Linked DNA regions of Pelodiscus sinensis. The protein of the gene in region 1 purifies or fractionates together with the protein of each later gene. This does not show direct contact. Links are inferred from orthologs where the notes say so. Each region holds a gene or a part of one and is shown on either strand. Other genes may lie near its edges. The genes, in order: PPP1CB, PPP1R12A, CCDC85C and YLPM1.

The links.
Region 2: the proteins of PPP1CB (region 1) and PPP1R12A purify together in Homo sapiens (affinity purification with mass spectrometry; 6 studies listed by BioGRID and IntAct, with this or other methods). This does not show direct contact. The link is inferred for Pelodiscus sinensis from reciprocal best matches to the Homo sapiens genes PPP1CB and PPP1R12A.
Region 3: the proteins of PPP1CB (region 1) and CCDC85C purify together in Homo sapiens (affinity purification with mass spectrometry; 3 studies listed by BioGRID and IntAct, with this or other methods). This does not show direct contact. The link is inferred for Pelodiscus sinensis from reciprocal best matches to the Homo sapiens genes PPP1CB and CCDC85C.
Region 4: the proteins of PPP1CB (region 1) and YLPM1 purify together in Homo sapiens (affinity purification with mass spectrometry; 3 studies listed by BioGRID and IntAct, with this or other methods). This does not show direct contact. The link is inferred for Pelodiscus sinensis from reciprocal best matches to the Homo sapiens genes PPP1CB and YLPM1.

What each region holds. Positions count from the first base shown.
Region 1 is NC_134713.1:160,760,394-160,767,423, reverse strand, and holds the start of PPP1CB (serine/threonine-protein phosphatase PP1-beta catalytic subunit), read left to right. Parts: upstream 1-4,025; 5' UTR 4,026-4,279; coding exon 4,280-4,331; intron 4,332-4,636; exon of another isoform or gene 4,637-4,659; coding exon of another isoform or gene 4,660-4,660; intron 4,661-7,030. UniProt on the Homo sapiens protein: Protein phosphatase that associates with over 200 regulatory proteins to form highly specific holoenzymes which dephosphorylate hundreds of biological targets.
Region 2 is NC_134711.1:70,892,917-70,900,284, reverse strand, and holds the start of PPP1R12A (protein phosphatase 1 regulatory subunit 12A), read left to right. Parts: upstream 1-4,352; 5' UTR 4,353-4,483; coding exon 4,484-4,720; intron 4,721-7,368. UniProt on the Homo sapiens protein: Key regulator of protein phosphatase 1C (PPP1C). Mediates binding to myosin. As part of the PPP1C complex, involved in dephosphorylation of PLK1. Capable of inhibiting HIF1AN-dependent suppression of HIF1A activity.
Region 3 is NC_134714.1:24,767,906-24,774,789, forward strand, and holds the start of CCDC85C (coiled-coil domain-containing protein 85C), read left to right. Parts: upstream 1-3,864; 5' UTR 3,865-4,571; coding exon 4,572-5,280; intron 5,281-6,884. UniProt on the Homo sapiens protein: May play a role in cell-cell adhesion and epithelium development through its interaction with proteins of the beta-catenin family. May play an important role in cortical development, especially in the maintenance of radial glia.
Region 4 is NC_134714.1:44,324,571-44,331,879, reverse strand, and holds the start of YLPM1 (YLP motif-containing protein 1), read left to right. Parts: upstream 1-4,307; 5' UTR 4,308-4,507; coding exon 4,508-5,506; intron 5,507-7,309. UniProt on the Homo sapiens protein: Plays a role in the reduction of telomerase activity during differentiation of embryonic stem cells by binding to the core promoter of TERT and controlling its down-regulation.

The DNA.
Region 1 (7,030 bases):
AAGCAAAATACATGGTATGTGCAGCAGGAATGGCAGTGCGAATGTTCAGACTTCGGCTGGGAGCCATATTCTGAAACACAGTGAGGGCTTCAGGGCCCAGGACTCATCACGAGCCTGGATGTGATTTGCTGTGTAGACATACCCTGAGCCTCTGATGAGACTGTAGAATCAGTCTCTCAGGCCCATTCACTCTGGCTGTGTCTACATTGGCATCCCTTTCTGGAAAAGGGATGCTAATGAGACACTTCGGAATTGCAAATCCGCGGGGGATTTAAATATCCCCCGCGGCATTTGCATTTACATGGCTGCCGCTTTTTTCCGGCTTGGGGTTTTTGCCGGAGAAAAGCGCCAGTGTAGACGCGATTCTCCGGAAAATACCGTATATATTCGAGTATAAGCCGAGTTTTTCAGCACAGTTTTTGTGCTGAAAAATGCCCCCCTCAGCTTATACTCGAGTCAGCATCTCGAGAACTGAGGCGGGCGGGCTCAGCGCGTCTCTGCCGCTGGCCGGGGCTAGCCGGGTCTAGCCCCGGAAGTCGGGGTGAAAGCTGCTCCGGTGCCCCTGGTCTGCTGGAGACCGTCTCCAGCAGACATGGGGCACCGGGCGGGTTCCCGCGCTTCTGAGGCTTTGCCAGAGCAAAGCCTCAGAGGCGCGGGACCCCCCGTGGCTGCGGCTTCAGTCCGGGAGCATGTGGTCTGCTGGGGACGGTCCCCAGCAGACCACAGGCACCCAGATTGAAGCGGCAGCAGCGGCGGTTCCTCTGGCAAAGCCTCAGAGGCGCGGGGAACCGCCGCTGCTGCCGCTTCAATCTGGGTGCCTGTGGTCTGCTGGGGACCGTCCCCAGCAGACCACAGGCTCCCGGACTGAAGCCGCAGCCACGGGGGGTCCCGCGCCTCTGAGGCTTTGCTCTGGCAAAGCCTCAGAAGCGCGGGAACCCGCCCGGTGCCCCTGGTCTGCTGGAGACGGTCTCCAGCAGACCAGGGGCACCGGAGCAGCTTTCGCCCCAACTTCCGGGGCTAGACCCGGTATCTATCTTCATTTTTTACATTTACCAGTAGCTGCCTCATTTCCTACCCTAGGCTTATACTCGAGTCAATACTTTTTCCCAGTTTTTTGGGGTAAAATTAGGTGCCTCGGCTTTTATTCGGGTCGACTTATACTCGAGTATATACGGTAAGCCCTTTTCCGGAAGATCCCTTATTCCTACTTTCAATAGGAATAAGGGATCTTCCGGAAAAGGGCTTATTTTCCGGAGAATCGCGTCTACACTGGCGCTTTTCTCCGGCAAAAACCCCGAGCTGGAAAAAAGCGGCAGCCATGTAAATGCAAATGCCGCGGGGGATATTTAAATCCCCCGCGGATTTGCAATTCCGAAGTGTCTCATTAGCATCCCTTTTCCGGAAAGGGATGCCATTGTAGACACAGCCCCTAAGTATTTAACCAAAGTGGAACAGATTTAATAGGACAGATGGCGGGAGCTCCATATCAAAATATCCCATGGTGCAGTGATTAAAGCACTTTCCTGAAAGGTGGGAGAACCCTGTTCAAATGTTTTGTCCCCATCAGACAAAGGGAGGAATATGAACCTGGATCTCTGACCTCCCAAGTAAGTGTTCTACTCATCAGGCTAATAGTTGAAATAGAGATAATACTACTACCTCCTCTTCCAGCCTGATTCTGAATAGGCACTGATCCAGCATGCCTACTGGACTGGGCCACATCACAGTGATTCTGGAACAGTTTTTATAGTGAAGATGCTGAAGGCAGGAACCATGTATCTGAGTTATTATACAATAGCATTACACAATTCCATCCTGTTATACAACATTCTTTCACTGTATAACATCATCATGCCACAGTAAAATGTTGTGATGATTTTCAGGTGAGTTCAATAATATGGACCTGGTCCACTGTAGCTGGGTGATGCTTTAAAATTCAGGATGGGTAGGTAGCATATGTACTATGTTGGGCAGTTCTGAAAGTCAGTCCTCTTTCTAGCTGGACAAAACAAATTTCCACGTGTCATTTTAGCTCTTCTCTATTTATGGAAAAGACTGAAAAATAAGGGAATTTATATATGCATATAAACTTTTGGCAGATGAGTTGAAATTACATTTTTGGTGGCTGTCTTCAACTGGGACTATAAAGTCAAATTTTGAGTCCTTTTATGGTTTCTTTTTTTCTTTCAGTATATCCAGTGAAACTTTATCATTGCCCTGCACTTTTTGAAAGAGCTCTTTCTTACATTAGTTGTTGGGTTCCCTAATATATATATTTGCACATATTCATAGCATCACTCAAGGACTTTTAAAGCTGTGTTCATACTAAATGCAGGACAATGTAGCACTTTAAAGACTAACAAGATGGTTTATTAGATGATGAGCTTTCGTGGGCCAGACCCACTTCCTCAGATCAAATAGTGGAAGAAAGTAGTCACAACCATATATACCAAAGGATACAATTTAAAAAAATGAACAAATATGAAAAGGACAAATCACATTGCAGAACAGAAGGGGGATGCGGGGGGGTGGGAAGGGGGAGAAAGGAAGGTAAGTGTCTGTGAATTGCTGATATTAAAGGTAGGGAGAGTGGGATGTTTGTGAGTTAATGGTATTACAGGTGATAATTGGGGAAACTGTCTTGGTAATGGGTGAGAAAGTTCAAAGTCTTGTTAAGTCCTTGTTGGCAAGTGTCGAATTTTAACATGAATGACAGTTCAGAGGATTCCCTTTCAAGTGCAGATGTAAAAGGTCTTTGTAGCAGAATGCAGGTGGCTAAGTCATTTAGAGAGTGTCCTTTCTGGTTAAAGTGGCAAGAAACTGTTTTCTCTTTGTGATCTTGTCTGATATCTGTTTTGTGGGCATTAATCCTTTGGCGAAGTGTCTGAGATGTTTGTCCAATGTACATAGCAGACGGACACTTTCGGCACATGATAGCATAGATTATATTTCTGGATGCGCAGGAATATGTGTTCTTGATCTTATAACTCACTTGGTTAGGTCCAATAATGGTTTCAGCAGAATGAATATGTGGACAAAGCTGGCAACGGGGTTTGTTGCAAGGGAAGGTACCAGGGTTGGTATTAGTGTGGTATGTCCTGTGGTGGTTGGTAAGAATCATCTTGAGGTTAGGTGGTTACTGTTCATACTAGTTTTTCCTTGATTGGTATATGAACATGAGTATTTGAAAATCATGTAAAATGACATGGTCTGTTATAGACCTCGACAGTTCCTAGAGCCAAAAATCCAAATCTTCATCTATATTTAGGTATCTAAGTGGCCTGATTTTTCTAGAATAGCTGCAGTTTGCACAGCAATAGCTATGTTTTATGCTTTACAGTTTTACATATTGGCCCTATTCCTGCATATTTTAACAGCTGCTTTCAAAGCATTTTATGTTCATTCAGATAGCCACCTAATGGCAAAACCGCATACTTTAAAATGGTCAATAAGTAATGCTGAAAAATATGTCCGGGATGAGAAAAACATAAGTGTTTTTTTTCTGAGAGTTGCATTAGTTGCTGAGCGCAACTTGGTCTTTCAATGCGGGCAGCTTGTTTAACTATTGTGATTTTTGACAGCAACGAACGTGAGACGTGATCAGCTCCCAAGAGTGGCTCACGTTAGCAGTGGGACGGGGGGCTCTGGTTAGCCTCCCCAGGAGTCAGGCGGGAGGGTGTGTGAGTCCAGCTGGAGGGCTCCAGCTGTGAACGCTTGGCTGGGGGATGTCTGGCAGGTTTCCACCTGCGCGCGGGGACGTGCTTCTCCGACACCCTTTTGCACTCAGGCTGGACCGTCTCTCCTGCTCCCACCTGACACTAGCTCGGCCGCGCTTGCAGCACTGCTAGGCCCAATGGGTTACTGGGGGCGGCGAAAGGAAGATCATCTGAAGCGCATGCGCCCCTCCAGGAGGGCTTGAAGTGCAGCAAGAACACCCCTTGCGCCTGCGCCGTCTGTAACATTGGCCCTAGAGGAGTCCCTCACGCATGCGCCCTTGCTAAAGTTGCGAAGCGAAGCGGTCGCGGCAAGAAACCAGGTGGCGGCGCATGCGTCGTGGTTTGCTGGCGGTCCGGTCTCTGAGGCGGGGAGGAGGTGCGGGGGTTGGTCTCTCCCCCCCATTTAACGGAGCGGGGCCGAGCGAGGCGCTTTCGGGTGCCCGCGCGGGAGGAGCAGAGCAGAGAGCGCGGCGGGATTCCTGGGGCGAGCCGCCGCCCCTCGACCGTGAAGCGCTCTCCACCCCGCCTTCTCCCCGCCCGGGACTGAGTCCGGTGGCCACAAAATGGCGGATGGGGAGCTGAATGTGGATAGTCTCATCACCCGGCTGCTGGAAGGTGAGCGAGCCCCCCCCGGCACGCGCACACCGGGGAGGGTGTTTAGGGGTCTCTCCCCCTCCCCCGTGCACGCGCACACACACGGGGTGCGGGGCTAGTGAAGAGCAAGGGGCGAGGCGGGATCCCGCGCTAGCACACAAGGGTGGGTAGGGGGCGAGGCGGGATCCTTCCCTTCACTCACACTCACTCACTCACTCCCCCCTCCCACTCCCCCTGCCCCTCCCACTCCCCCTCCCGGCGCCTAAGCAGTAAGTTGGGCCCAGTTTGCCCGGTGTGGGGAGAGCGCGCGGCAGCGAAGGAAGGTCTGGGAGGCGATCGCTCCCGCGCTAGTAGGTGCTCTAAGCTCTGTCGCGGATGGGGGGGGGGAGACGTACGTGCGTGCTACATTGCTGCTGCTGAGAGAGTGGGGAGAAGTAGGAGTTGTTTTGAGTGCACTGAGCCCTCGGTGCGCTGTTAAACTAGAGGAGACATCAAAGGCTAATGCGTTTAAGCCCCATATTCAGAAGGCGGCTGGGCGTGCCTGAGCGCGCGTGCGCGCCCGCATTAGGCGGGGGGCTGTGTAAAGTGAGTTCCTGCCCCATATCAGTGCTGCATGTGTTTAAAGCCCAGGGTCGGGACAGCTTCCCCAAGTGATGGGTGTGCTAGAAAAGCCTAGCTAGTGAGTGGTCTCCCTCCTTCCTATCAGACCGGTAGCTGTTTTTCATGGTTTTAAAAATAGACATTTTTGGTGTGTGTATGGAGATGCAGGAAGGTTTTTGTCTCCTGCAGTTCTTCTGCCTAGCTATGGGGCTATTTCTAATGTTGGTTATAGAGGCGGAGAAGAATGAGTGAGGGGGTTAATATGCGAAACAGCTGACTGTTTTCCAAGGAGTAGGATGCTATACTACTATCCTTATAAATCCATTTGATGATGATCATGGACAGGGATGATCTTGTCTTATTTTCTTTTTGATGACCCCCAACAAATATCTGGTGAGGGGAAAAAACATGTCTGTAGTTTTAAAAATGTATGTAACTTCTGGATTTGAAAGGCTACCAATGAGACTTACCATATAGATTTTGCTTAGGAGTGCGAACTGTTGGCTTCTTGGTGGTATCTTATTTAACTACTTGATAACCTAACATGACACACAGGTTTGTGAACATCATTTTGTAGTCATTCCTTCATCTTGCTAAAAGTGAAATGGTGCTTCACTAGAATGTCATTGAATATAAAATAAGCAACTCTTAATGAAATGATAAATCTTACACTTTGTATTCTTTGTTAGTATGTCTGTATTTAAAGTATCCAGTGTAGTGAGAGAACTTGCAAGTACCTGTATTTATCGGTCAGTGTAGATAGATAATTCAGCATTAGGTTAGAGTTCATTTCTGAGTGACTTGAAGCTTGAAACATTGCTAGCAAGTTTAAACACGACACTTTTACCAATGAATTTTGTCTTGTTTTTTATTATTGTTACAGATAGTCACAAATGGGACTAGTTATCATTCACTTTTTACTATAAGCTCAATTTTTAGGGGGGGGGGGTGCCTGTAAAATAATTTGGCTCAAATCTTTGTCTGGAGCAGCACTTTTTACTATGTTTTAATAAGATTAAATCTATCTACTATATATCTGAGAGAGTTGTCTGTTCAAGAACTCCTCCTAAATGGTAAGAGTTAGGACTACCAAATTTGGTATACAGCTTCTTCCTCTTATCATAACTCAAAGCAACGTAAGGGTTTGGATGTGCCTAGACTGGGAGTGCTTCTCATAAAACAGTGCAGAAAAGAGGCAGAGTTACCAGATAAGTGAAAGGGGCTGGCTGCCTCTAGCCTCCTACTCCCCAGGTGCCCTTTAGGTAGGATGGGGAGGTGAATCTCCCCCCTCAATTCATATGGGGACATTGCTGGCTGTTGCTCTTTATTAAGAAGTGAGGGGAAAGTGCATAGTTTATGCATTCCTCACTTTGTCTGGGGAGTACAGGGGACAGATGAACCTGAATCTGCTCCAGCTGGTAGACATGCAACCTCCCCTGGCTGTGCCCACTGGAGCTGCATGAGGTGCTTCTTGTCTGGCCCCAAGCTGCTGCCACCCTGAGAGGGGGATGGAGTAGTCCAGGCCAGCCTGCATACTGAACTCCTCATCCACAGCCCTACCCCAGAGCAATGATTTAAATGCAGTATGTTTGTTTTTCATTCCGTTTTACAAAAGACAAATACTGAGTTATAGACCCAAGCAAGAGTTATTTTTTAAAGTTGCTATTAAAAGGGCAGGCCTAGCCTCCAACATATATCTTAGTGTTTGTTTGCTAAGACAATAACTTGTGTAACTTTTCTGATGTGCATATCCATATTAAAATAGTTGATAAAATAATGTTTTGAGGGTGTAGCTGAAAGAGTCTGTATCTGCTCCAAAAAAAAAAAGGAGTCCTATGGCACCTCAGATCACTTCCACCTTGTTGGTTACTTAGATTCACAGTTGAGACTGTTTGGGAAATTGGTGCTTAAAGATCTTTTCACAATATTAAAATGTGTGATAAAGGCAAATTTTAGACTTAACAGGTCAAATTTGTGCAAGTCTGTGTACAACTTTTTTAAACTTTGTAAATCAAAATCTTAGAGATTTTTAAACTTTTTGTTTAACTTGAGTGTAAAAAAATTAAGGAAAATCTGTGTCTTGACAAACAGATATTTCTTCACTTACCTCCCACTGAGTT
Region 2 (7,368 bases), on another chromosome or scaffold:
GCTGGGGGAGATTGGGGGGAGCGGCCTACGGGAAGCAGAGCTGGTTGGAGGGGGGAGGGTGGAGCGGGGCTGGTCGGGGGAGCTTAGGAGGAGGATGGGAGAACTGGCCACTGGAAGTAGCACTGGCAGGGGTGCAGAGGGCTGGCCAGGGAAGATCAGGAGGAAGAACCGGACGGTGGGAAGTAGAGCTAGTGGGGGGGGTTGGATACAGCGGGGCGGGCCGGGGGAGATCGGGAGAGGAAGGGAGAACTGGCCGCCGGAAGCAGGGCCGGTGGGTGCAGCAGGGTTGGCCAGGGAAGATCGGGAGGAGAAGTAGGGGAGAACCAACTGGCCAGCCAGGAGCAGGGGCGGGGAGAGGGGGGAAGAGCGTATCATTTGCCATTTTGTTGCCCAAGCAATGAGTTTGGTGAGAGCTTTTTGAAGCTCTTCACAGTCTGCTTTGGTCTTAGCTATCTTGAGCAGTTTAGTATCATCAGCAAATTTTGCCACCTCACTGTCTACCCCTTTCTTCAGATCATTTATTAATAGGTTGATTTGGATTGCTTCCAGTACAGATCGTTGGGGAACATCATTCTGAAAATTTACCATTTATTCCTGTCCTTTGTTTCCTATCTTTTAACCAGTTATCAATCCATGAGAGGACTTATATATGGCCCTCCCAAATTCATGGTCTATTTTGGTCAATTTCAATGCCATAGGATTTTGATAAATGTAAAAGTCATGATTTCAGCTACTTAAATCTGAAATTTCATGGTGTTGTAATTTTAATGTTTTTAACCCAGAAAGGAGTTTTGTGTGTGTGTGTGTGGTAAGGAGGGGTCCAAGATTATTAGCGGGTGTGTTGCAATACTGTTACCCTTTATTTTGCACTGCTGCTGGCGGCAGTGCCGCCTTCAGAGCTGGACCCCACTGAAGAGTAGGGATGTACAATCCTGGTTAATCAGTTAACTGGTTAAACCAGGGGTGGGGAACCTTTTTTGGGTTGGGGGCTGTTGACCCACAGAAAAATCAGTCAGGGACCACACACAAGTGAGAAGCAAAGTCAGAAGCCTCCTGACTGAGAAGCAAAGACACTCCCCACATTCCCCTTGAACAGCAGAGCCTAAGGGGGCCCTAGGCTAGTAGATTTTGTGTGCTCCAGCCCTGTGGGTGGCAGGGAAGCTGGAGCACCACCGTGGGCTCCCCAATGCTGAACCTCGGGGACCAGATTCAGGCAAGCCAAGGGCCACATCCAGCACCTGGGCCTGAGGTTCCCCTTCCCCACCACCATTAAACATCAGTTAACTAAGTGGGATCCAGACAGGGGACCACTCCAGCCTAGCTGGAGCAGTCCCACTCCCACAGTAGGGCTGCTGCTGCCTCCCCGCTCCCACCAGAGCAGCGCTTACCTGTGGTGGGCTGGCCTCTCTGCAGAGAGAGGCTGCTCTGGACACCAGCACAGCCCCTGCCTACAGGGTGCTCAGGACACCAGGCAGGGGCTGCTCCCAAAAAGCGTAGTACCTGTCTGCAGTGGGCTCTCTGAGTTACTCATGCCACAACCAGTTAAGCTTTCACATCCCTATTCGAGAGTGACAGCTCCTCACTGGGAGCCCAGCTCTGAAAGATGAGCTACCAACGGTACCATGCAGAAGGAAGAATGGCAAGATACGGTATTACTACCCTTGCTGCTGTTGGCTGGGCATTGCCTTCAGAGGGCAGCACCTGGCCAATAGGTGCTTCTCTCTGCATGTCCAGCTCTGAAGGCAGCATAGAATGGTGGAAATACCACAAGCCCCCTAAAATAGCCTTGCAGGGTAAGCCCCCTAGAACGCCAGGCACAAGGTCTGAGGCAACGCCCCCACCAGCTCCACCTTGCACCTGCTCTGCTTCCTGCTGCTGTGGAGAACCCAACTGTAGCAGGTTGGGAGAGACCAGCACAGTGGAGCAGGCTACCATGCCACTCTGGCCCCTCCATCTGCACAGTGGGCATGTGTGTGGGGGCGACCACTGCTGCTGTCCTGAACCAAGCTCTGTAATGCTCCAGGTCCCTCCTGTCTATAGAATGGTTGGGATGGCTACAGGGGTTTGGGGTTGGCAGGCTCCCAAAAGCACGTAACCTTGCAACCCTCCTGCTGCAACTCTCTTTTGGTCATGACCTCCTATTTGAGAAGCAGTGGTCTCCCCCATGAAACTTGTATGGTAGAGGTAAACACTAGGGCTACATCTACATTGGCATGATCTTGTGCAAATACTCTTTGACGCAAAAGCATCTGTGCCAGCTTAGACGCTCTCTTGCGCAAGAACGCTCCGATGGCCATTTTAGCCATCAGGCTTTCTTGCGCAAGAAATTCATGTTGCCTGTCTACACTGGCCTCTTGCGCAAGAAAAGTTGCGCAAGACGGCTTATTCCTGAGCGAAAGCATCATAGTTCTTGTGCAAGAAGCACTGACTTAATACATTAGAACGTCAGTGTTCTTGAGCCAGAACTCGCAGCCAATGTAAACAGGCAGCAAGTTTTTGCGCAAAAGCACATGCTTTTGCGCAAAATCATGCCAATGTAGACAGAGCCTAGGGCTATATCTACATTCAAGGCTTCTTGCGCAAGAACATCTTGCGCAAGGGTTCTTGTGCAAGAAGTCTTGCACAAGAAAACGTCCACACTGCCATGTGCGAGCTGTGCTTTTGCGCAAGAGCGCCCATGGCAGCGTGGACGCTCTCTTGCACAAGAAAGCTCTCGTGGCCATTTAGCCATAGGGCTTTCTTGCGCAAGAAATCCCTGCAGAGTGTCCACACCGCCCTCTTGCGCAAGAGGCCCTCTCTTACTATGCCATACTGTAAATTTCCTTGGGCAAGAGCAGGTGGCCCGTGTGGACACTCTGCGGATTCTTGTGCAAGAATTGCCATACTTGCGCAAGAAGCCGTGAGTGTAGATACAGCCATACACACAAAGAAATTTCATGGATGGAGACCACATTTAATGGTCAGTGATGTGTTTTTCATGGCTGTGTATTCAGTAGGGTCCTATTGATATGACAGAGAAGAGAATAAAACCTATTGGGCTGATGGCACTTCACTACTAATGTTTTGTATGACGAAGCTTATGTCCAAATAAATGTTAGTCTTTATTTAAGGTGCCACAGGACTCCTCATTTTTTTGGATATAGGCTAACACAGCTACCCCTCTGATACTTGTCTTAATGTAAATTCTTCTTGCCTAATATTACTTGGACACATCAATCACCAGAAAATAAGTTTGATCAGACTGAATAGCAGCTGGAAAGAAAAGGAGCCTAATAAGGAAAGGGGTGAATAACCTTGCAGTATTTGAAGTGTTTGAGGTTTTGTGAATGGCTCACACTATAGTTTCTTATAAATGCAAATTCAAACTCCTCTCTAAGCCCATATATTCCCCCAAGGGAGAATTACTTGAGGACAGCATAGCTAAAGAATAGAGCCCACTTTATGGAGGGCACAGGGTGAAGAACCCAAGGCGAGGCTGCTGTAAATAACGCAAGCACGCTGCTTTGCACGCTTTGCTCTCCCAACTTGGGATGTTACATTTTGACTAATTAACTAATCAAATAGGTGATGGGATTTTCATTGACTATTTGATTAGTCCATAAGGATTAGTGGGGCCTTCCTTATGGACCCCCAGCAGGGAGTCCCTCTGACCCCAGGCTTCATGCCAGCACTTCCGCTTTGAAATGTGCAAGTTCCCACTAGGGCTCTTGTACATTTCAAAGCTGGAACTCAGCTGCTGAACCCTTGCCCCTCCCATGGAGCTGGAGGGAACCTGCTTTTAAGCCAGCCCCCAGCCCACCCCCCCTCAGCACTCCCTCCTCTTCCCCCCTTGCTGCCTCTTTGTGACAGCAGCAGCAAAGGGGGAGCGACTAGTCGATGGACTAGCCGATGAGCTTTCGCTTATATCCAATAATCTACTACCCCAACCCCGACTCCCTACCTTCCCCGAGCGCTCGCGCACGTTGGCCCTGCGCGCCGGGCTCCCCTCACCCTACTCCCGCCTGGGAAGCCCGAGCCCTTCCCCCTGAACTGCTCACCCCGCCCGCGCGCCTCTCTCAACTGCCTTCGGCTACCGCCTACCACAAGGCCCCGCCCAGCAGCTTCCTCCTTAGGCGCGCGCTCTGCGTCACCCACGGTGCTCCCCTTCAGGGTCCCTGTGCCCCTCCGAATGTCACCACCCTCTGGCTACCGCCGCTGTTCTATCGCGGACCGGCCTCTTCCGCCCCCTCCCCTGCGCTCAGTCAGAGCCTCGCCTATAGCCCCTCTGATCTGACACACCAGCCATCCAAGTCCCGCCCCTTCAGGAATCTCGCGATATTATGCTAAAGTGCCGGGCGCCGCGCCCCCTCTCCGGCTCTTTCCCTCTGGGCGGGTGAGCAAGTGCGGCGGTGGCGGCGGCCGGGTCGGCCGCGGTGTTCTGTGGGATAGTGGTGGATAGAGGCTCTCCTCGGTGCGGAGCGCTAGGGCCGGGCAGGAGCGGGGCATGAAGATGGCGGACGCCAAGCAGAAGCGGAACGAGCAGCTGAAGCGCTGGATCGGCTCCGAGACCGACCTGGAGCCGCCCGTGGTCAAGCGCAAAAAGACCAAGGTGAAGTTCGATGACGGCGCCGTCTTCCTGGCTGCCTGCTCCAGCGGGGACACGGACGAGGTGCTGCGGCTGCTGGAGCGGGGCGCCGACATCAACTACGCCAATGTGGACGGGCTCACCGCCTTGCACCAGGTCGGCCTCAGCGAGGGGGAGCCGGGGCTGGGCCTGGCCGCGCGGCACCGGGGCAGGGAGCGGCTCTGGCGGGCTGGGCGGGGGTGGGAGCGGGCTCGGTGCTTGTGGTCCAGCACGGAGCGGAGGAAGGGGAAAGGTGCTTGGCTCCAGTTCTCCAGCGAGGGGTCTCCCCCAGGCTGCCGGCCCGGACAGATGCATCGGCCTTGTGGATGCTGCTCGTTCCTGCTAAACCCTGGGATCGGCCCCTCTCTGGATGCTGGAGACTGAGCCCTTTCCTCTGCCCGGCTGGGGGGATTCGGGGTCCTTCTTGTTTCTTTCCCCCAGAGATAGTGCTGGTGGGACCCCCTGTCCGTGGCGAGCATTGGGGGTGTCCCTGGTAAAGCGGGGTTCTCCGAGGCCCTATCCGCTGTGAGTCCGGGCAGGAGAAATGCTGCTCGGGAGCGGGGAAGGTGACAGGAAGACCCTGGAAAGGGGAGATGTTAGCAGGTGGGGGTGATGGGGTGAGAAACGCGGTCACTCCATGTTTGCTGTTAACATCGCCAACATTTCTGTCGCTCCGATCCCTCCAATTTTTCTGCTGTTTAAAGGATGAAATCTGCTGATTATGAAGGCGGATCATTTCTCTCTGATTTCTAGGCGGGAATTAATGTTTTGTTGTTAATATAGTAACGTCTATCAATAAGAGACAGGCTTCTTTCTTTACTGGTGGTTTCTACCGCAGTGTGAAAGCCCCACTCTTAGGTTAGCAGTGTTTTTACAGTGTATATTTCCTGCGGTGGGAGGCTGTAAGAAGGGGCAGGTTTGTATATGTTTTTGAACTCACTTCGAACTTTCATTGAGGGTGGGGGAATGGAAAGTGGCCGTGAAATTTCTCAAAATGGATGCTTTGTACATGTTAAAGTTTTATAGCAATCTCATTGGAATCTCAAAATGTTAGCCAAATAAGGAAAGGCAGTGGTAATCCAGTGATAATGTGGGTTTGCCTGAATAGTTTTTGTTTCTTCAGCAAACCAAAAGCCATAGCAGCATATTAAATTCATTGAACATCAAAAAAGCAAGAATAATCTCTTTGATAGATGCAATTTTCAAAATAAAAAAATGAATCTCAGTAGTTTTGGAAAGATTTGGTAATTATGAGCTCTAGTTTGATCAGGTACAGATCTTTTCAAAATAATTCAATGAGGAAATTCAGAGCAGTGTTTGTTCTTTCTAAACAGAAGCTGGTGACTTTAGTGTGCAGTAAACTCCTTCATAATGAAATAAGTATGAGGAATGCCTCATTATTTATTGTAATAGAAAACAGTAAATGGATTGCTGAGACCTTTTATGCTTTTAACTGATTTTATACTTTTACTGTAATGCAATGTGTATCTAATAACTTTACTGTTTCCTGTACAAAAGTTGTCACCTGCCCTTTCACTAAATTAATAGTCTTGATAGAATTGGTATGCTTCCTACTGACAAAAAATAAAAACAAGAATGAACATGACCAGTTATGGGATAATCATTATGTTTGTGTTATGGTAACATGGTGATACACTCCTTAATTTCAGTGTATATTGTAATACTGTATATGGCAAATTTAATATACTGTAGCTTCATTTAATCAATCTGGAAATTCATAGTCTAAAGACGTACCTTACTTACAGACACCATACTTTCTGTGGTTAGATGTTAATATGTAAAAAGACTTTCAGGTACTTTTAATACTGAGAACAAAAGGACAAAGTCTTGGTTTTAATGAAGATTGGTAAAACAACAAAGTAAAGAATAAGCTTTCTCTGTTTTGACAAGTCTGAGAAGCCTTTTTAAAAACCAAATGAGAGGAGTTTTTGCCAACTTTATGGTACTGTAGTGCAACATTTTTACAACTAATGTCATCTGTACCTCCATGCTGTCAGATGTTTGCTCCACCTCAATGTGCAAGCTGACCGCAGAGCGGAAGATCAAGTTAGCTGCAGATTTTTTTTCTTAGAGTTATGCTAAAGTAGTCATTACTCTAGTGTCACTGCTATGATAGGACTAAAAATGTTTTTTTGAGGCGTTAATCAACAAAAGTTGAAAAGCAAATTGGGAAATTTCACTGTGAAATGATTGTTTTATTAAGGTAGCTTAGTAAATGATTGTATGTTTACCCCAGTCCTCTCAGGAAATGTATTGTTTGTAGTGCCCCTTTAATCAACATAGTCTCTAGTTTACCCACACTTCTCTATCATACACTTGTGACAAAATAGAAAATGCTGGACACCTACTCAAAAATGAGAATTGCTGTGATAAGTAGGAAACATCTCAAAACTTTAACACTTTGCTACTGTTGTGATTTCAGTAATGTTGAAAGCCCTATTGTACCTAGGATTTCCTATCACTTCCATAATTTTTAAGCACTAGATCAGTCAATTTAGATCTGACTATCCTTGTGAAATAATTACCTGTAGGATGTGTAAAAGGTAGTGATTTATGCTCATTTTTGGATCTCTTTCTTGTCCCCCATAGTCATCTATTTCTTTTTCACATTAGCTGTGTTCTCCTGTCTTGAGTGATTCACAAATTATGTTTTAGTGCACTAAAGCAGGAGCATAAATGACTTTTCTTTTGGTAATATTTTCACTTAGATATATATACGGCAGTATAGGAAAAAGGGGTGAGAA
Region 3 (6,884 bases), on another chromosome or scaffold:
AATGACTTTTCATTCACAACTCGCGGCTGGTCCAGCAGCCAAATGAAACAAACCAAATGTTTGGTGTGTTGTTTATGAACTCTTATCTTCCAATGGAAATTGACCTAGCAGAATCATAATTCTATCTGAACCACATATGGGAACTGGCTTTGTTAGCTGGCTGTAGAAAGCACAAGCCCTTCAAAAAATATCCCAGGATGTTTATTGTTTGTTGGGATAAAAGCAATAAACTTATTTGAATACCTTAATAGTTACTGTTGATAATAATACCTTACACTGATGTAGTCACTTCCCTCCAAAAACCTCTCAGAGCATTGCAGACATGCCTCACAACATCCATCAGAGCCACTCTAAACATGGGTAAGCAGAGGCAGAGAGAGATTGTGACATGCCCAACATGATTAAGAATCAGTGACAAAACTGGGAACAGAGGCAGGAGCACTCTTAGCTCTCAATACTAACTAGATAACACCCTCCCTCATCATCTTCCCAAGCTGACAATACTTTTGTCTATTTAAAAAGCACTGCAGTACTCATATTTAGATCAGTGAGAGCCCTCCACACCAAATACAGGTCATTCATGTCTATTTGCTGCTACTGGATGTCTGTATCCTTATATACTAAGCATTAAACAATGATCTATTTTCTCAGCCTATGCTAATATATATGAATACTTCCCCACACAGAGTTCTTTTGTCCAGTAAGATAATTCTTTGTAAAGCCAACTATAGAGCAGATTCATCCAGTTTCCTCTGGAAGAAACAATCCAGAAAAAAACAGCTTCTCTGGGAAACAAGGTCAACTCTGACGGCACAAAGTTAATTTCTGTGCTGCAAATCAAGGGCAGCCCTGGTAACATGCTGCCCGGTCTAGCTGCATCCATTTGATCTTGCACCCCATTGCACAATCATCACTGCCTTCTCCTCCCAGTGATGTTGTGGAATGACATCTATGAACAACTTCCTCTGCCTTCACCCTTCCTTCCTTCTTTCCCTCCCAGCAAATTAAAGGTAATTCTGCAAAAGAAGATGGATCACTCCTGAAACCACGAAGCTGAGCTAGCTTGGGACGAGCCCTTTTTATTTCCTATAAGAGAGGATGTAAATAAAGGGCTTGCCCCAGGAAATGCTTGGATGCTGGAGATATGATGAAACCCAGTGATGTAACAAAACAAATCACTGTATAGGTTGGACCTCCCTTGTCCGGCAGCTCCTGTGGAATGAGGATTAGGAAGCCTAATCTGAACTAGCTAGTCCGTGCCGCATGTAGCCGCGCAGCACGGAGTCCGAACTAGCCGGCATTTAAAAATGGCGCCGGCCGGCTTCACGCAAATGAAGCCCGGGAAATTCAAATCCCGGGCTTCATTTGCAAGTGCGGATGACTACATTACCCCCGCTAGTTCGAACTAGCGGGGTAGTGTAGACATACCCTTACTTATTATCACATAACCTTCATGAGAGATCCTCCAACCATTACCAAAATGCCTAGCACTTGGTTGGCACTATGCGAATATAAAACGAGAGGCCAACAACCTTTGGTGTAATCTGCTGGCAAACCATAGCCACTGGGAGCTGCAGGGGGATGTGCCTGTGGATGGTGAATGTAAACAAAATGTCTTGTGGCCCGCCAGTGGATTACTCTAATCATGGGCTGCTTGCCAAATGTTGCCAACCGCTGCCAATCCACTTCCTAGATTTATTCAGCAGCCCTTCAATCAACATAGTCCAATGATAAATTCTGCAGCTCCCTATTCAGGCCCTTTACTCCTGCATTCCTGGGGTTTACATCTCTCCTACTGTCCACCCTTTCTCTAGGCACATGGAGTCAACCTTCTCCCTACAGCAAGCCTGCGCCCTGTGCTGATCACTGTACTCAATGCATGTACCTAGTTCATGTGTTGTTTCTCATTCTCATTTTCTTTTCGGAAAAGCAAGTGCATTTTTTCTGCATCTCTGTAAACTTCGTTTTATGAGGAAAAAGGGATATTCTGAAAAATGGGTTTTTCCCGACATTTGGCCCCGTGTAGATGGGCTAAAAGTCTGAAAAGCCTCTGTCGGAAGAAAAGCGGTTTACAATTTACGTATCTTTTTCCGACTTTTCTTTGTCGTGTAGACACAGCCTATGAGTGGCCTGTGTGGCAGAGACTCAGACAACATCCTGCATTGTGGGGGTTATACATGAATTTGCTCTGCATGTAGCTGAGCACTCCACAGGCTGTGGATGGAGAAAGGATCCCTGTGAAGGTGAATGGCTATAAAAGGGGAAGGGATATCAGGACTGTTCCTACTGGTGCTGGTGCCCTATGCAGCCCAGCACCAGTACCTTCCCCCTGGGGGGAAGTGGCTGCTCTGTATGGGGGGTGAGAGGGAGGGCCAAAGCTGTGTGGGAAAGAGGTTGCCAACTCTCCCAGAGTGGATGCCATTTACCTGAGCAATCTAGAGCATGGCTGGGAGGACTCCGCAGTAGTAGCAGGTGGCCACACCGCCAGCCACAGAGAAGTGGCGCTTTTAAAGGGAAAGTGCTGCTTCTCTCAGTCACCTGCTTGTGCAAAAAGCCTGCAGTATAGACATAGCCTATGAGAGGAGGCCTACAGAAAGTAGAATAGCCTCAGCTATCCGTGGGCAGGAGTTGAGGAGGTGCTGCTTTCCTCTTGCTCTCTCTGGTTATTTATCTCTCTAGGCAGATCACAGTATTAGGTGCAGTGTATGTCTCAGAGCAATGGTGGGCAATCTGCGGCCCATACAGCCCATCAGGGTTCTACATGTGGCCCACGAGACATTTTGTTTACCTTTCCTCAGGTGTATGGTTGTCAGATTTTGCTGGTTTCCAGACAGGTAGTTTTTTCCTTACAATCTTGCTGCCCATTGAACTGGAGGGCCACTCATGCAGCCCACTCGCTAACCTAGGTTGCTCATTGCTGTCTCAGAGCCCTACAGTTTGATAGAAAGCCACCTGAGGACCTCAGCTGTCATGGTGCCAGTTCAGACTGACCAGTGGAAAGCCACTGGTTGTTTTTGCAGCTGCTGTGACACTGTCTGCTTGTGCCCACAGGGTCAGCACCAGGCTTCCTGCTCACCATGGTTACTGAGGCAACACAACACAAGGAATTATCCCCAGAAGTGGGGAAATCGCTGCTGCTGGAATAAAGGGCGCCTCCCCTCCCGACAGCCCCCACCTGCCTTCCTGAGATGGCGGACGGGCAGAGGTGCTCACACCACACCCTTGGCCAATGGGTCCTGGTCGAACAGAAACCAATCCATACTCATTCACAGCGCATCGTGGAGCCAGGCAGCAAACCCGATGCGCGCACAAACCCCATTCACCAGCAGGGCTGCCGAGAGAGCAAGAGACGGTGGCAGAAATGCAAAAAGGCAGCCGCGACTCCGCTTCCCCTGTACTCCCGAGAGCAGCCTGCGCCTTTCCGACACAGGCTGGCGGCGACACATGGCTGGGTCAGAGTGAGAGAAACGCTGGCGGAGGCAGGTCGCGGGGCACGCCAGCTCCCAGGGCTCTGTGTGTGTAGACGCGCGGTCCCTTTAAGAGAAGCGCTGCCCTACCTTGCCCATTGTACCTGCTTTTTGAAAGCGCTTTGCAGCCCTCCCATTGGCTGGGGGCGCCACCACTTCTCCCCAGTAACTTGACCCGAGGCGCAAAGCAAATGCAACCTGAAAAGACTGGAGCATGGCAAGGTCCCTGCCCCCAGCCCCTGACACCCAATCAGGCTTCGGGGGGAGGTCTCTGCCTCTGTAATCCGCCTCTCCTGGAGCAAAACTGTCTGTGCTCGGCAGCAGCCGGGCGAGAAGGTGGGGGAAGCCTCTTGCTCAGTGGAACAGGGCTGGAAAGAGCTCCCCCCTCCTTGTCCCCCCCCCGCAGAAGTAGGTGGGACCCGTTCAAGCCCCGCCGCGGAGCTCCTGCTTTCTGATGACTGTGCCATTAGAGGAATGCTCCCTCGCTCCCCACCTCTTGTCATGAAATTTACGTGCAATTTCCAAAGGCATTGACATCATCCGGAGAGCAGCCTCGGAATTAACGCAAAACAAACAACCGGAGGGACGGGTTTTTATTGCACATATTGGCTTTTTTTAAAAAAATAGCTACCTTGCTGCGGCTCGGCAGCTGTGGGCAGGGATCGGATCAGGCAAGCTAGGTGTGCATCGGAGGAATGAATGGTGCCTGTATTATTTTATTTGTACTGTTTATTGGAAATCGAAGGGTTTGGGATTTTTGTAGAGGAACAAGTGAAATGACTAAATGCAAGACGACTGACCGTTGCTGATTAGCCTCCGCTTTAGTGTTGGGTTCACCTAGGGGTAAGTTGATTGTTTCATTTTGGAGACTTAATTAAAAAAATTCGAAAGCCTTGAATGTGATCCTCCCTGACCTGTTGGTTTTTGATATGGGGGGCAAATCATTCAAGGTGAATATTCTATTTTTTCCTTGTCCCATCGTCTCTGAAGAACTGTAATTCCCCCTCTGACCAACATGTTACAGTAAATTTTAGTTTAAGAAAACACCGTTTATTATTATTATTTTATTATTTATTTAAAAAGAAACACTATATAGACTCAAATATGGCAAAAAATTCTCTGGAAGGGTCTAAGGAAGACCTGAGCAAAATTTCAGAAGAGGAGATGATGAGGTGGAGCAAGGAAGAGCTGGTGAAAAGACTGAGGAAAGTAGAAAATGAAAAAATGAACTTAATGGTGGAACATGGTAATTTAATGAAGGATGTAAACAGGAGGCTGCAGGTTCATCTGCACGAGATCAGGGGGCTGAAGGAGGTGAATCAGAAATTACAGGACGATAATCACGAATTGAGAGAGCTGTGCTGCTTCTTGGATGATGACCGGCAGAAAGGCAAAAAGCTGTCCAGGGAATGGCAAAGGTTTGGGAGGCACACGGCTAGTGTGATGTGGAAAGAAGTCGGGATGTATCAACAGAAGCTGAAGGAGCTAGAGGCAAAGCAGGAATCCCTCATGAGGGAGAACATGGAGCTGAAGGAGATAGTCCTCATGCTAGATGAAGAGAGAAATGGAGCTGGCTCTAGGAGCTCTATAGACAGCCAGGCCAGTTTGACCAATTTGAATGGGAGCTCTGGCACCAGGGATGTGGGAGATGGAAGCAGCACGTCCAGCACTGGCAGTGCAGGGAGCCCAGATCATCATCATCATCACCTCCACCATCACAAACCTGTCGAAAATAAGGCTGGAGCAATAAGGAGGTCAATGGATGATTTGTCTGCACCTCTTCACCACAGGAGTATCCCCAATGGTCTCAATGGTAAGTCTGTTCCCTCTCTTGTACTCTACTTCTGTTTGAGGAAGCTCTGTCTAGTATTCACATGACTTAGACAGGTGATATGAGTTCTGTGGCTCTGACACCGATTTCCTGTCTGAACTTGGGTAAGTTGCTTAAACTACTTTGTGCTTCCATTTCGTCACCTGTGCAATGGTGATGCTTGTCTCAAAGGGGTTTTATGAAGTTTAGTGCATTGACCTTTGGACACTGCATGCAGCTGGAAGAGTCTATGGGAATGGAATGCATGTAATCATTTATTATGAGGAGTAGTAATAGTATGATAAGAATCAGGCAATCTTCTTGAAAATATGAAATACACCCTATGTGTCTGTCTATGGCTTTATTACGTCTCTTAATCTGAGAACTAGTTCAAAGTGGAGCTGTTCTGATGTAGTTACACTATTGTTAAATGCTCATCAGATGCATTATTAATGGTGAGGGCTGTGGGATGATGTTTTATTTTTTATTTTTAAGTCTGGCAGGCAAATTGACCGTGTTTTCTGAATTAATTAAACATTGATTTTTTCCCTTTTAATGTTTTGTTTTATCTTTGCTGCTTGCCTGATAGTTTGATGAGCTTGATAAAAAGCATAGTTGGGATTTTGGATACAGTCTTCATCTGCCAGATAATGGATAAAAGCATCACCTGTTAACTCCGTGAGGCTTTCACTGGCAGACTGTGTGAAGTTGAGCAATGCCTACTAGCTAAAGAGAGTGTTCAATGTAGGGGAACTAGCTTAACTCTTTGCTCCCCCCTTTCATTTTCTGAAACAGTCAGAAGAGTTGTTTGCGGGTCAGCGATCATACTATAACTGAAACCATCCTTATACTTTCTACAAATATGTGATGACAATTGGAGAAATCCCCATATGAAATGACAGGCCTCATCCTATTACTCTTATGCAAGCACAGTTCCCAGTAGAGTCTATACTAAGATGGCTTTAAAATAATATCCCCAAAATATCCCTAAAATCCAGACTTGTGGGTTAAAGTATGTCAAATTTGATCGGAAGAATTTCTAAAGGTTGCAATTCAGATAAGCAGATCACAACAGGACACAAACTGGGCTCATGCACAACTGCTAGAGTTTCAGCTTCTTCAAGCCACTTTGCACCACAATATTCAAATCAGACGGGAATGTTCTTTGGTAAATGGAGTATGAACTACAGCATTCTCCTTCAGTGACCTTAGAAACTGATCTCTCTGTACCACCAGCTTGTAACATCAAGGACAGAGTGAAAAGTCACAGAGTGATTTGGTTTTGATACTGTCAGCTTGTGCTATTCCAAATGTGAGCATGTTACACTTACAAAGGGATAGCCGTAGGATAGATCGTCCCCTCCAATGGGAGAACTGCACGATGGGGCAGATAGCAACTCTGCCACGACACCCTAAGTAACTGTATCTTGCGACTGAAGAGGTTTTAGGAGTTGAGGAAAGAGCAGAGGGCATGGGAAGGTCCTGGTGTTCTATGGGCAAGCCTCAGTGACATAGAGAATGTGAGTGGGACTTCAGGATTGGACTGATGAGTGTTGAATGCCTCAAGTGTATTATCCTAACTTGCCGTGGTCTGAATTTCCTTGCAA
Region 4 (7,309 bases), on another chromosome or scaffold:
GAGGGAGCCCCTGCCACTCTACATTGCTGCCTCTGTATCAGAGGCAGCAGTGTGGGGTCAGCAGTGTGGGGTGGAAGTAGCTTCTGTCCATGGGGGTTTCGAGCTCCCTGGGGATAGAAGCTGCTTTGGGAGGAGGTGGGGAGGAGGCTGCCATGAAGCAGCCTCTGTCCGCGGCAGCCCAGGCTCACCGTGAACAGAGGCTGCTCCGATAGCAGCCCCTGTCCTCGGAGAGCTCAGACTCCCCATGGACAGGGGCTGCTGCTGAGGACCAGTTTCTGTCTGCGGTGGCCCAAGCTCGCCACAGACCTTCTGCGGCAGGAGCTGCAGCACAGAGGGTAAAGGGGGCAGGCAGGAGCTGGTGCATGTGTGATGCTGGCTTTTAAGCCAGCTCCACCCGCATCACTTCCCACAAGCTGCTCTTCCCTTCCCCAGTGCTATTGCCTCTATCAGAGGCAGCAGCGGGGAGGGGGATGTCAAGCAGGAACTAATGTGCATGGGGAGGCAGCATTTAAGCCAGCTCTTCTCACATGCCATCTCTGTGGACCTGCCTGCCCCTCCTTGCTGCCTCCAATAGATCCAAGACTGAACACCTGTGCAGCACTCAATCTTCCTTCCAACTTTCACATGTCTAATTTTCATAGAATCATAGAACTGGAAGAGACCTCAGAAGGTCATCAAGTCCAGCCCTATGCTCTAGGTAGGACCAATTCCAACTAAATCAACCCGGCGAGGGCTTTGTCAAGCCGAGACTTAAAACACCTCTAGGGATGGAGACTCCACTACTTCCCTAGGTAACCCATTCCAGTGCTTCACCACCCTCCTAGTGAAATAGTTTTTCCTAATATCCAACCTGGACCTCTCCCACCACAACTTGAGACCATTGCTCCTTGTTCTGCCATCTGTCACTACTGAGAACAGCCTCTCTCCATCCTCTTTGGAACCTCCCTTCAGGAAGTTGAAGGCTGCTATCAAATCCCCCCTCACTCTTCGCTTCTGCAGACTAAACAGACCCAAGTCCCTCAGCCTCTCCTCATAAGTCATATGCTCCAGCCCCCTAATCATTTTGGTTGCCCTCCGCTGGACCCTCTCCAATGCGTCCACATCCTTTTTGTAGTGGGGGCCCCAGAACTGGACACAATACTCCAGATGTAGCCTTACCAAAGCCGAATAAAGGAGAATAATGACATCTCTGGATCTGCTGGCAATGCTCCTCTTAATGCAACCTAATATGCCATTAGCCTTCTTGGCTACAAGGGCACACTGTTGACTCATATCTAGCTTCTCATCCACTGTAAGCCCCAGGTCCTTTTCTGCAGAACTACTACTTAACCGGTTGGTCCCCAGCTTGTAACTATGCTTGGGATTCTTCCGTCCCAAGTGCAGGACTCTACACTTGTCCTTGTTGAACCTCATCAGATTTCTTGTGGCCCAATCCTCCAATTTGTCTAAGTCATTCTGGACCCTATCTCTGCCCTTAAGCCTATCTACCTCTGCCCCCAGCTTAGTGTCATCTGCAAACTTGCTGAGGGTGCAATCCATCCCCTCATCCGGGTCATTAATAAAGATATTGAACAAAACCGGTCCTAGAACCGAACCTTGGGGCACTCCACTAGAAACCGACCGCCATCCTGTCAAAACTAGTTTGATTACATTCTCCTGCACACTCCAACACCAAACAGCACTGACAAAAGTACATTATAGCAACATGTCTTCAAGACTTTCTTACATTTCTGCCTTAGGCCAGGCTCAGCAATGGGAGCCTGTCTACACTGGCAAATTACTGCACTGAAACTTGCTGTGCTCAGGGGGGTGATTTTTCATAACCCTGAGCAAGAAAGTTTCAGTGCGGTAATTTGTCAGTGTAGATAAGCCCGTAGGTGAGCCTGTAAAACAGGAATCTGCAAGACAGGTTTTTTAAAAGAAAATGCAGGGATTTCAGAAGCCCTTTAAACTAAAGTTACATTCAGAAAAGAGGGAGATTTGAGAGGTGTAAGTGAAAAGAAGGGGCCAAAATCGAGGGAAGGGATAACAATGGTATAGAGAAATTTATCTGTGGTACTTTTATGGCCCCATCACCATAGTATCTGAATCTTGCACACTAACCTATTTCTCCACACAACCCCTCAGTAAGGTAATGCAGAAATGTTATTTTATACCCATTGATCAGGTAATATACTGAAGCACTGAAAGACTAAAGGCCAGATTTTGAAAGGTATTTAGGCACCTCATGGGATTTTCAAAAGCATCTAGAAATTAGGTGCTTTGAAAACTCCACTAAATGCCTAGCTGCATCTTTGGGTGCCTAAAAATCTTGAAACTCTGTCCCCAAAGTACTAACTAGCCTAAGGTCATACAGGATGTCTCTGGGGAAAGTAGACTCCCAAATCTCTCAGAGTAGCTTCTGATCCACTGAACCACCTATGATGGACCATGTTGGGTCTGGGCACCGCTGAGGGCATCCGCTCAGAGTGAATTGCTCAAAACCAGGGCTGCTTACAGCCCTAGATTGAAGACCTTTCCCAAAGAGGCCACAAACCAGTCACATTGAGTGTTTCAGCTGCCAATCTATCCAGCAGGAAGCCTCATGAGCAAAACCCCTCAGACACCCCAGTTCTCCCTGTGCTACAATCAGTCCCAGGTCTTACACACAGGTGAGGGTTTATAGAACCCTATCTCACCTACCCCAAACGGCTTCTCCCAGTCCCAAAGAACCAGCCACAGATCCCTGGTCGATTTACTCTTTAGATCTTACCCACTGGGCCAATCCTTTAGCATCTAAAGGTTTATTAACAAAAAAAAGAAAAGGTTGTTAAGGAGTCTACATTACATGTTCCAATCACCAAGTTCTTGATGCAGGCTCGTAGCAGAGATGTTACAAACTGTTATCTTAGAAGTCTCTGGTGTACATCCTTGGCTACGTCTACACTGGCCCCTTTTCCGGAAGGGGCATGTTAATTTCAACTATCGTAGTAGGGAAATCCGTGGGGGATTTAAATATCCCCCGCGGCATTTAAATAAAAATGTCCACCGCTTTTTTCCGGCTTTTAGAAAAGCCGGAAAAGAGCGTCTACACTGGCCCCGATCCTCCGGAAAAAGCGCCCTTTTCCGGAGGCTCTTATTCCTACTTTGAAGCCAGGTGCATGTTAATTGCACAGAACATTGAGAGAGCCTTGCACTCCCTCTGCATCTAATCAAAGTGCTGCTACAGTTCAATTGGCACACCCTGCAAATTCTAGGTACAGTTAGCAAAACTACTCCATCCCGGGAGACTGACTTGTTTACGACAATCATGTGGCCCACTCACTAACATAGTTTGCCCCTTGCTGCCCTAGTAGGATGTTTCCAAAAGTTAATATGATCTATTCCAATCTTGACCTGCAAAAGAGTGATAGAAAGAAATCAATTTTTCTACAATTGTTTCAATTGCTGTATTCAAGAGTTAGCAACAAAATAGGAATATACATTAAAATTTTAGACCTAACCAGTTTAAGTGACTTGACACAAAAATGACAGAACATACTAGTATTAGAGCTGAGTAGATCTAATATTTATTTTTCTTTCTTTATAAAGAAATTAGATACAGGGCTTCTGTCAGATAATTTCTAAGTTACTATCAAAATCTAGAGTGTTCATGTGTCTGTCTAGCCCATGGAATCCGTTAAACTTGCCCCTCTCCCGACTCCCTAAAAATCTCTAACGGCGATCCTGGCATCACCCGAGTTATAATTTAGGTTAATTTTCAGCGAATCCGAGTCCTCAGGCAATGGCGTTGGGGTTGCTAAACTGAAGCGAAGAGCCTGTCGCTGCTAAACAAACACAGTACTTGTAAACTGAATGCTGTCTCCATAGTAACGGAGCGAAGGGTTCAAGGCTTTGCCTATGGTCGTCAGCTCCCCTTGCCAGAGGTGGCCCTTGCCGGTCATTATTTGCTAATCGCTAGGCCTGACAGAGCAGCTCGCAGACTTTGGGTAGCGAGCAGGAGGGGTTGGTACCAGAATTTCATCCCAGCTTGTGACTGAACTTGTGCGTAGCGAGAACGTGGAGATCTTGGTCGCAATAGGACCCAGAAGCCGAAGGCCTCCAGTATGTTCCTTCCGGCCCACCGCAAAAACAAGATGGAGGCCGATAGCCTTTCTCTGAGCGGCGCTCTAGCTCCCCTTTTCTCCCCTCTTTTGTCCAAGCCGACATGAGAGCAGGAGAGACCACGGTATCAGCGACGCTCTAGTTTCAGACAGTGCTCCTCTCTATGGCCCATGTTTTTCCGCAAGCGTCCGGCCAGTCTATAGCCCTAGATGTCCGGCGGGTGGCGCTCTAACTTCAGCGAGCCCCTCTCCATGGTCCAGGCTGCAGGCACTCTAGCTTTCTACATGCCACTCTTCTATCCTGGAGGTCCAAACGAGCCCCACTACGCAGGCGCCGTGTGTCGCACGCGCTGCTGTCGACGTTCGCCGCGGCCTGTGGAAGCTCCGCTCTCCGCTCGGACTGCCGCCTCAGACCCGGCCCCGCCATGTACCCGGCCTGGGGCATGTACGGGGCGGCGGGGCACTACCCGCCGCCCCCCACCTCGATACCGCCTCCGCCGCTGCCCGTGCCCCCTCCCGTGATGCCCCCCACCGTCCCGCCGCCCAACTACCCGCCCCCGGGGCCCGGCGTGGCCCCCGCGCCTGGCGCCTCGGGCTTCCTTAGCCTGCAAGAGCAGCACCTGGCTCAGCTGCAGCAACTGCAGCAAATGCACCAGAAGCAACTGCAGTCGGTGCTTCTGGGGGGTCCCCCGCCCGGGCCACCACCCCCGGGCCTGCCCCCTCCACCTCTCCCCGGCTCCTTCACCGACTGGCCGCCGCCAGTGCCACCCCCCGTCCGTAGCTACCAGAAGCAATTCAAGCACCGGGAGCCGCCCCCGCCACCCCCACCCCGGGACTCCCAAGTCTGCAAGCCCCCACTTCCCCGAGAGCATGAACCTCTCCAGCCGTCACAGCCCCAGAGCGACTGGGAGCACCTGCCTTCTTCTCCAGTGCCCATGGACATGGAGCTGTCTTCTCCACCACAGTCGCCCGCACCTGCTGACCAGGCCTATCCGACCCCTTCGCAGGCCTATATCCCTCCAGCCCACTCTGAACCCTATATCCCTCTGGCCCAGCCACCACCTTCCCAGTCCTCTCCGTCCCAGTCTTATTTGTCCCATTCTCAGCTTTCTCAGCCACCCCCGCCATCCTTTTTGGAGCCCCCTCCATCAGTCCCTCCGGTCTATTTCCCCCCTTCCCAATCCTATCTGACACATTCTCAGTCTTACTTGTCTCCTTCCCAATCGTCCACTTCCCAACCAGTGCAATCTAGTTTGACCCCATCCATTTCCAAGTCTAAAACTCACTTTACTGCATCCCAGTCGTCCTTACCTCCTGCCACTCCTGCCCAGCAAGAAACAGTGCAGAGTGCTGCCAAGGATACTGGTGATAATTCTGATCAGCACAGCACTCAACAACCAGACCCATCCACTATGACCCCTCAGGTAAGAGCTAAGTGCCCAACGTGAGCATTGCCGCAGAATGTGGCTGCAGATTGGAAAAAGATAGATGGGAACAGATAATTTATGGATATATTGTGAGTTGTAAAGATGCTCAACTAAAGATAGATAAAATAGAGATACCATAAATGAATTATGTTTAAATTAAACAAAATATTTGATTTCAGTTCACAAAAGCCAGGAACGATACAAATAAGATTAAAATTTCATAAAACTTCCACTGAATGTATGTTTTGTGTCCTGTAGGTGTTGTGGTTCAAGAGCCAGCAGATCCCAACCACAATGGGATGCATAAAGAATAAAATTTCAGCCTTGACTGAACCTTATCTGATTGGTGGATTTTTCAGAGTTTCAAAGTTGTGATCTTGCAAATTGTGTTGTGCAGATGAACTACATGGAACTCCACTGAATGAATACTTTGGGCATTCCATATTGATGCAGCAGTCTGCAGGCACATTGCAGGATTGTTTCCTAATTAGTTTAATTTTTTTCAGTTTACCAACAGAAAAGATATAACAGTACCACAGTTGTTGCTTGGCCACACCTGCGGTAGTTAAGGTTACGAAAGTACTTCTGTTAAAGGCCCTAGATGCCTTATTTGTACAGTTTTCAGAATTTGGCCTAAATGTGTTCCGGCTTGATCTTTTCCTAAAGGTGAACTTTTATGAAACACTTGAGGAAAGTCTTTTCAAAAGTTTATGAAGAATATATACTTTTTATTGTTAAAAACATTTATGTCTGTAGGTGGGCAGTCAGGCCCCAAATCTGTAAAAGTTCACATTTCTGAAGCAGTAGCCACTATAGCAAACTAGCCACATTCAATCGGCCAAATAGCCACATGTGGCTGGTGGCTAGCATGTTGGATACCATGGAGTTAAAGATTATTCACTTGCATAATTTTGAAAATGCACATCATAACGTGCCTGGAGCCTTAGATTGTATGTGCAGTTGATTAAGCTCTGTATGAGCCCAAGGGTCAGCCTGCACAGATCCAGTTGTAGATCAGGGGCTAAGTGCACTTCTTAAAAAAACTTGCTGACTTAGTTTTATAATTTAAAATTAACAAGGGGTTGGGTTTTTTTTTAATTTGACTCTTGTGTTCAGAGTTAAAGCCAAATTGGTGGGGAGGGGTGTTAATCTTTGTCTTTGAGGGATGTGAATGTTAAACCAGTTAACTAATAAGCCTCAGCCTCAATGGGTGAGGTTTACCAGAGATGGTTAACTGGTGAGAACTAGAGCAGCTCTCCTGCCATGCTGCTTCAGCCCAACAGAGAGCCTGCAGTGGACAGGGACTGCTCTGCCTGGACAGGCATCCCGACCAGAGCAGCTTCTGTCTGTGGCAGGCCTGGGTGCCCTGCAGGCAGGGACTGCTCCAGCTGGGATGCTGGAGCAGCTCTTGCTTGTGGGGTGCCCTAGTCAGTGCAGCCTCTGCCTGCGGCATGGCGGGGCTGCATCAGCCCAGTAGCGAGCAAGGGGGTCCACTCCAGTTGTGCTGGAGCCGTACTCCTCTTGTTCACCCCTTTCCCTTTAATCGGTTAACTGGTTAAACAATATATTTAATCGATCAACCAGTTAAATGGGATTTTGCATTCCTAGTTAAGTTACATGTGTAAATTAATTATTTTATTATTATTTAGTATTTATTAATCCTTGGGATCATTTTTAATTGGCATACATTTAAAGCATATATTTGCACTTGCATAGCTATTAAAAATTTGTACTTTCCTAACAGACATTAGTTAACCTCTTGTGTGGTGGTGTTCATTGAGTCTACGAACTGCAATTTTA